2 linked regions of the Nothobranchius furzeri genome follow. The protein of the gene in region 1 interacts with the protein of each later gene in a pairwise test. Links are inferred from orthologs where the notes say so. Each region holds a gene or a part of one and is shown on either strand. Other genes may lie near its edges.

The links.
Region 2: the proteins of zbtb25 (region 1) and sephs1 interact in binary tests that used the Homo sapiens proteins (3 or more experiments, as listed by UniProt). The two-hybrid records come from large-scale screens. The link is inferred for Nothobranchius furzeri from reciprocal best matches to the Homo sapiens genes ZBTB25 and SEPHS1.

What each region holds. Positions count from the first base shown.
Region 1 is NC_091742.1:15,669,474-15,674,002, reverse strand, and holds the start of zbtb25 (zinc finger and BTB domain-containing protein 25), read right to left. Parts: upstream 2,933-4,529; 5' UTR 2,033-2,932; coding exon 1,950-2,032; exon of another isoform or gene 1,773-1,949; coding exon of another isoform or gene 1,765-1,772; exon of another isoform or gene 1,710-1,764; intron 1,126-1,709; coding exon 946-1,125; intron 825-945; coding exon 1-824. UniProt on the Homo sapiens protein: May be involved in transcriptional regulation.
Region 2 is NC_091744.1:72,586,732-72,590,549, reverse strand, and holds part of sephs1 (selenide, water dikinase 1), read left to right. Parts: intron 1-1,908; coding exon 1,909-2,063; intron 2,064-2,157; coding exon 2,158-2,248; intron 2,249-2,332; coding exon 2,333-2,432; intron 2,433-2,652; coding exon 2,653-2,865; intron 2,866-3,818. UniProt on the Homo sapiens protein: Synthesizes selenophosphate from selenide and ATP.

The sequences.
Region 1 (4,529 bases):
GCCCTCCCCCTCGGCTCCTCCTCAGCTCCGCCGCTAGCTGGTTGGCCAGCGCTTGACTCTGTCTCAGCGCCTCCTCCAGGCAGCCAGAGTCTAACTGCTCCTGGGCCCCCGGGGGCCCCTCCTCCAGGCCGGCATCCAGATCACCGCCATGCGACAGCCCCTCCATCAGGCAGGCAGGGTCAAGGGCGTGGCTAAAGAGGTGCTCCCGCAGGCCCTCTGGGGAGGAGCAGCGCTCTCCACAGCGGGGACACTGCAGGACCAGGGGACGGTCTTTAAACAGGAGTCCCTGAGTGGGACTGTTACACTGGGCGGGGGACAGAGGCCCCATCCCTGGCCCCTCCTCCCCCTCACCGTCCTCCTCCTCCACGCACTCCTGCTTGATGCGAGCTGAGATGTCCGAGTCGTCTCCCGACACCACTGAGCAGAGGTTACGCATTCCTGAAACTTGGTGGTCCGGCTGGACCCCTTCCAGTCCAACGGCGAGGGACAGCTGGGCCCGTAAGGCCTTCCCAGAGGACCGCCCGTCTTCAAGAGCCCCGCGGGACACTGTGGTGGTCTTCGGGGCTCCAGACGTCTCCTTGTTGGCCAGCTGAGAAGAGATCTGGATTCCATACAGGTTGGACATGCGGACCACATCGGTGGTGGCGTCAGGAGCACCGTCTCCGGGTTTCCGGCACAGCTGGTACGCGTGGAGGAATTTGATGCCGTCCTGCAACCGGCTCTGGTCCACTGGCTGTTTGGGACACATGCCCGTGTACATGATGTGCAGCAGATAGCTGAAGACGTCGGGCTGGATGTCCGTGGGCTGGATCTTGATGCACTCACTGCGGACAAACGGAAACCAGGATCAGAGCAGGACAGATCCGGTTCAGATAAACCAGATCCTGAAATGTTCTGTGTCCCTGTGGGAGTGCTGGGATCAGTGAATCTCAGGTGTTTGGTTACCTGGACTGGTGGATGAAGATCATTTTGAAGTAGTTGGAGAAGGCGGCCAGCACGGCTCGATGGGCCTTAAAGTAAACGTTTCCGATGGCAACGGTGCAATCACACAGGAAGCCGAATTCTCTCTGAACGTTGAGCTGCTGCAGCAGGAAGAGGCTGTGGGATGACACCTCCATGACCCGTCTGGAACACACACACACGCACACACACACACACACATGCACATGCACGTGCGCACAAACACATGCACACGCGCGCGCACACACACACGCACACACAACCACACACACACACACAGAGAAACGCGCGCACACACACACACACACACACACACACACACAGAGAAACGCGCACACACACACACACGACCACACACACACACACACACACACACACTTCTTGACCAGCAGCTAAAAAGTGACATCACATCAAACCCTCTGAGTGTGCACATAGATAATAAAGCATGAAGAGTTTTAATTGAATAAATTATTTTATTATTGGTTTAATTTGGCCCTTTTATACAAACAACTCGTATGTTGTATAAATGTTGTCTATAGTTCTGGTTCAGCTCAGGTACAGGAACACACCTGCAGGGTTAAGTCTGCTGCTAATAACAGCAACAAATAAAACCATTCACCCTTTCATCCTGACCCTAACCCTAACTCAACAACTCGTTCACTTTTGCTGCTTTTCCTAAACTCCCTGTTTTCACTATTATTTGTTTATTTAGATTGAGCTAACAGGTGAGCGCCACTCCTTCTCCTCACCTGCTGGACGCAACAAAACTGGTTTCTGCAGCATCACTGAGCAGCTGGAGCTCACCTGGACATCTCACACCTGTCCTCAACACTTCACGCGCAGGCTCCGCCCACTTCCAACCTGAGCTCAGGTGGACCAAAACGATCTCTGACCTCTGTGAAGGTCACCTGCATGACCCGGAACTGGGAGGATGGGGGAGGGGGAGATAGGTACTTTCATCACAACAAACCACCGGAACCAGAACGTACCCCCTCCGGAACGCCCGGCGCGAGCCACCGCAGCTTCGCGCGTGCACGTCACGTCGCGCCCGCTGAGCTGCAGCATCCTCCATCCTCCTCTCATCCACAATTACCACACACGTACGTCTTCATCACCAACACCGAACACACCCCGGCACGTATGCACGCGCCTTGCGCCCCGTACACGCCCTCTGTCGGCGCGTGTCGCGCACACGCCCCGTTAATCAGACTCTTACCGCAGAAACGAGCAGACTGTCTTCAGGAGCCGATTTGTTGCTGCAGACACGATCTCGCGTAGAGCCGAGCCACGTCTCGCGAGAGGACAGGTCAAAGGGCTGGTCACGTGATCCGGCGGTGTAAATCTTTTTTCCAGTCATTGGTAATCCCAGAAAATGTTTAATAACGGATCAGAGTCAATACAAAAACTAAATTGCAATTACCCCTTCGGGGGTAAATATGAACCCTGAAACCAGTTTGGATGATTTCAGCCTTTTCTCAAAGGTTATTTTTACTTTTGCTGCAGAATAATCCAGAATAATAAACCCTAACCCCGCTCAAAGTACAATTGAAGATAATGAAATGAGTCAACACCAAACACACGTTACCGTCTTTGTCAGAACGTGATGGAATTTAAACTCTTCTGAGTAAAAAAGATCTGATTAGAATGAATTAGACTTTCTGAGAATCACTGTTACTGTATTCAAAGGAAATAAAAATAGAGTCTATTCTAGAATGTGGTCTGGGATCATCTGTCTCGCCTGCAGAGTCACGCTGAAATTCACCAGAATGACAATCTCGTTAAACTTCTGGAGATTTTTTTTCGTTCCTGAATCCTGCTCAGAGTGAGACCTCCGTTTTCTTTTTTCTCTTTTCTCAGCTTGACATCACTCGACTGTACATACGGCCCCAAATGACCCCGAGTAAAGCTAGACAAACGCATTTGTTTCCGGTTTGGATTTTCAAAGTGAAATACATATATTTGATAGGGACTTATTTAGAAAATATTGGAGCCAACGCTAATTCTATCTATTGTGAACACAACAGATTTGTGCACCACACACAACAGGTCAGGGTATAACTTCCAGTAAAAGACTGGAGCCAATATAATGATCAGAAAATCGTGTGTTTTCAGTGCTACTGGAAGTAAACTAACCAAAAGTAAACTTTTTTTTTCATTAATTTCTACAATGAACTATCAGGAAAGTATTACTAATATTGTAGTTTGACCGCCAAAGTTGTGACCGGACGTCTTTTATTTTGAACTTCCAGGTTTGACGGAGCGGCAGACAGTGCGGAAGTTATTTCATCCTGCAGGAGAGGAGGAAGAAGAGGCAGTTCTTCGTCTCCAACTTTCCGCCTTAACGCAACAACCAGTCCGGGGAAGAAACACCGGCGCCCCGGGAACTACCGCCCTCCGTTAGCAGCAGCTCCTCGCGGCCCACCGGCACCCACGGTGAGTCCGCGCTTCTCTGTCCGACGCTCCGAGCCGCCAGGCCGGGTACGAGGGGAAATCCCCGCGGCCTGCTGGGCTCTGTACAGGCGGAGTGCGGTGGCTGTGCGGGGGTGGCGGGTTGTTTGCGGGAAAGGTTCGTCTCAGTAGAGCTGTTGACACTGGCGTGTTTGTTATCCGGTGTAGATTTTCAAAATAAAACCTGGTTAATGAATTAGTTAATTTCACGTAAATAATTGCTTGTAAACAACTTCATCAAGTTTGGTTGTACACCCTGATATCAATTAAAACTACATTTAGATTTCTAACAACATGAGAAGATAATGAAATTAAAGAGCGGGTCAAGTGTGCCTCAGAGTCCTCCACCCACATACCTTCGTGAAGACTTACCCGTCTTAAAACACTATTAGACACTTATTTATACAGTTCATCAGCAAAAAAAGTTAATTTAGACGTTACTTGCTCTTTAAATGAAAATATTCTATTTGTGGTCTTAGTGCCCTTTAAGCTGAGAGCTACCAACCAAATTTTGTTATGTGTATGCATAATGACAATAAAGAATTCAATTCAGTTCAAATCGTTACTTGGCACACATTTTGTCTGGTTGTTTAGTGTAGAAATAATTGGTGCACTTTGCAAGTGTGTGAAACTTATTCATGGTATGAATTTGAATTTATTGTAATATAAGGATATGAATGGTCCTTTTAAATATGTACCCATACCTGGATAATGTTTTCATTGAAAATAAAATTTGTTTATTTTTGTTTACAAATAATGTTTTCAAGTCCCCTTATTAATTCTGAACCTTATTTGTTAAACCAGTTTATTATAACATAAAAACAAATTATCGCCACTTTTTTGTAATATCACCTTTGCATGTACTTATCTTTTACCAGTAAAATTTAAATGTCTATTTTCTTGCTAACTTTTGCGGTTCTTGGCTTAATCTGAAATTTAAACTCCCTCTAAACCACGTGCCTTATTCGGCTTTTATTTAGGAAGCTCAGCTTTAACTTCCGGTGAGGTCGATGCCAACAGCACCTAGAATTAGCTTAGCTTAGCTAGCCGTGGCTGAGCTGAAATCTCCATTTTAGCTCCGTAGCTCGGCTGGCCTCGCCCCCCCGCTAGCCACCCTGTCA
Region 2 (3,818 bases), on another chromosome or scaffold:
GAGCCGATTTTCCCCTCGTGTGAGAATCTAAGAGCCTGCAAGCCAGACAAAAACTAGGAGATAACTGTTGAAGTAGCACAGCGAACGGCTGCGGCCCAAACAGCACCAGAACCGCTCAAGGCGCATGCGCAAACATGGCTCGCCAGCTATTTCCCTATTAACACAAGTCCATTTTAATTTCTACACTTTTTTTTCTCACACAATAACAAGGATTTTTTTCTGGAACTGCGCTGCTCTGGGTGGCTGCATGTTGGAGTAGCTCTGTTGACTATATGTAAGTTTTGCCTTATCTTGGGCATTTTTCCTTCTAGTTTCTCAAGAAAAACTGTATTTTTTTGGACACTTTACTTTTCTGTTTCTGGTGCTGTGAAGCTTGGAGGATTTTTACTGCTATTTTTAAGCTTTTTTCACTTTTAGAGCATTTGTTATGATGCGTAACCATGGCAACAAACTGGTTTGCAGTCGGTGTGTTTGCTGACTTTAGTCTTCCAGAGAGCAGCTCTAGCAGGTAATAAAACATCCACAAACAACCCAGCCCAACATCCGACATGTTTAGACTTTCAGATTTATCTGAAGTGTTTCCTGTGCTTTACTGGGAGACTTTAACATCCCTCAAGGTAAACTGGTTTTATCATTTATATAAAATACACCTGCTGGAATAAACAAAATAAACAACAACCCCTTAAGCAGGTCAGATTACTGATAAACAGTCATGATAAAACTAATTTGAATCTGAAATGAGTTATAAACGTACATTTCTATAACTGCGTTAGTAGCTCGTTAACGCTAATTCCATAAAATGCTGTTTGTATTTTTAACACATGCACACACAGGCAGTGAGTACAATAATCAAAAGGGTATAAACTTGGATAAACCTCCAACCTTATTTTAACATTACTGAGAAAAAAAATACAGCAAAGCATCATTTAACCTGCAGTTATTCACTACTGAAAACCTAGCTTCTATGAGCAAAATAACAACATGAAAAATTAATCAGGAGAGCAGAAAGCACACGCTTCAAAATAAATCAGAATATAGATTTTTGGCCATTCTTAGTAGAAGCTAACTGTTAGCATTAGCAACTCTACCACACAGCAGAACTCCTTCAGGTTTGTGTTATTTGAGGAGAAGACACATCAACGTTGCAGAGCAAACAGACTCGAGGCAGTATTTTAGAAAAAAATACTTCAGAAGCTGCTTGTTTCACAGAAACAGATCAGGTGCTCATGTGTTGCTTTTATTACAGCTTTCTTTTAATTCATAGCAAATTTTAATTTGTGACTTGCTGTGATTCATGCAGGCTGAAATGAAATCTGCTGACTGAGTGTTTTGTTCACTAATCTTTTAAAGGGGCCATATCATGGAAAATCCACTTATTTGGAACCTTTTCCCACGTGATATTGTTATTGCTGGTTTTAGTTCTTATCTGTGTGCAGCGTTTATATGTATTAAGATTTAATCTAGGACTGTGACTGCTGTCATGTAACAGACGTGGTGGTCCAGTGGTTAGAGTGCTGGGCTGGACACCTAAACCACTGGACCACCAAGGCCAATACAGCATCGGACTCGCCTAAGATGCTGTTGTAGGTGGGCTGAGTTTCCCCGAAAACAAACTGTTTTGTTTCTGGGTAAAAATTCAGGCAGATTAAAACGACTCGTATTTAAGATAACTGACTTCAGCTCTCACCAGCATGATATAGAACCTTTAACAAGAAAGGACACCTCACAGATTTGTCAAAGTTTGCTTCTTAGCAAATATGTCAGTGATGTAGATGCATAATTTTCACACTTGGAAGAGTTCAGCTGATATTGAAGAGCGCTGCATCGGCAAGATGAGGTGGACAAAACGGCTGAATGTATATTCATGTAATAAGCAGGACTTAATCTCTGTATTCTGATGTTTTACAGGAAAGAGACAAAGTGATGCCCCTGATCATTCAGGGATTCAAAGACGCTTCAGAGGAGGCTGGCACGTCTGTCACAGGGGGACAGACGGTGCTCAACCCCTGGATCGTGATGGGAGGAGTTGCTACAACAGTCTGCCAGCCCAACGAGTTTATCATGTAGGAATGAGTTCTTGTTACTGATTTTTGTTTTATTTTTGCTCGTTGCATGTTTTGTGTCTCTTTAAAACACCATAATGGTGCCATTTCTCAGGCCAGACAACGCCGTGCCAGGGGACGTGTTGGTTCTGACCAAACCTCTGGGAACACAAGTGGCCGTAGCGGTGCACCAGTGGTTAGATATCGTAAGTTCTGGCGATGGTTCTTTTGAGAAACATCTTGTGATACACACTACTGACTGGACTGTGTCTGCTTTCTTTATCTCCCAGCCTGAGAAGTGGAACAAGATCAAGCTGGTGGTGACCCAGGAAGATGTGGAGCTCGCCTACCATGAAGCCATGATGAACATGGCGCGGCTCAATCGTACAGGTAAGAAGCAGCAGCAGCTTTTGAATAAACTCGGTGTGAGATATTACATGGGCTGTCTACACAACATGGAAATTTCAGTAAATACGTGTTTTACATAATGGTTTTTGCAACATTGTTTATTAAATAACAACATTTCAGCCATAAACTATAAATCTAATTACAGATCAGTGAGTTAATCACCCTGAAGCACATCTAAGCTTCTGTTTGTTCTCTGTTGCAGCTGCCAGTCTTATGCACACCTTCAATGCCCATGCAGCCACTGACATCACGGGGTTTGGCATCCTTGGCCACGCTCAGACACTGGCACGACAACAGCGGAGCGAGGTGTCCTTTGTCATCCACAACCTGCCGGTTCTTGCCAAGATGGCTGCCGTGTCCAAAGCCTGTGGGAACATGTTTGGACTCATGCACGGCACCTGCCCTGAAACATCAGGTACTTGTTTAGGTCGTTAGGTTACTTTACTGGTACCTGCGGGTATGTGTACCTAGTTCTGTTCTGTCTATGCTCTTCCTTGTATATTTTATTTATGACTTTTTACAATAATTTACAACAGCTTTACAAAATAAGTGTCGCAAGCTGCTGAAACTCTAATAACAAAGAACATATATGAGAAAAGGAGTGAATGCTTTGTTTGTTTTATTTAAATATTATACAAGAGTGAACTTGCAGGATGTAAAGCAGAAATTATTTTAAAGACATGGCACATTACAACTCCTTTTTAATATTTCTGATTATAATAATCGGTCACTCAGAGTTTTTCATGCTGGCTGAACATGAAAATAGTCTCCTACACCTATCTCTTGTGTTAGCTTCTGATAGGAAATGGACGGTGAAACGCTAGGATTTGAAAATGGTAAATGACCTGTGTGTGTATAGCGCTTTCTAGGGTTCTACAACCACTCAAGGTGCTTAAAAAATTTGTGACAGATCTACGTCTCACTGTCACTTAACATTCATGGACTCGGTAACCGTGACGGGGAAGGGTGTCGTTGGTTTAACATCCAGGAAACGGTAGTAGAAGCTAACTGTTAGCATTAGCAACTCCACCACACAGCAGAACTCCTTCAGGCTTGAGTTATTTGTGGAGATAAAACATGAACGTTGCAGCGCAAACAGAATCAGTGGTAGAGTGGCGTTGCTGTAATCTAATCTGAGATGTCCAGATATCAAGAAATAAGCCTGGAGCTCATTTGTGATGTGGCTCACTTCTGGTTCTTGGAAATGCTGCACATGTTTGTTTCAGAAGTTTTAAAATACTGCAATAAGTTTTCCATGTAAAAGAACGTATGAACATACACTCACCACCCCAACCCTACGAGGAACGCCTTGGTAGTCACGTGTTCAGCCAGGGTAGATCCATGCTTTCATGGTCACTCAGTCTTATG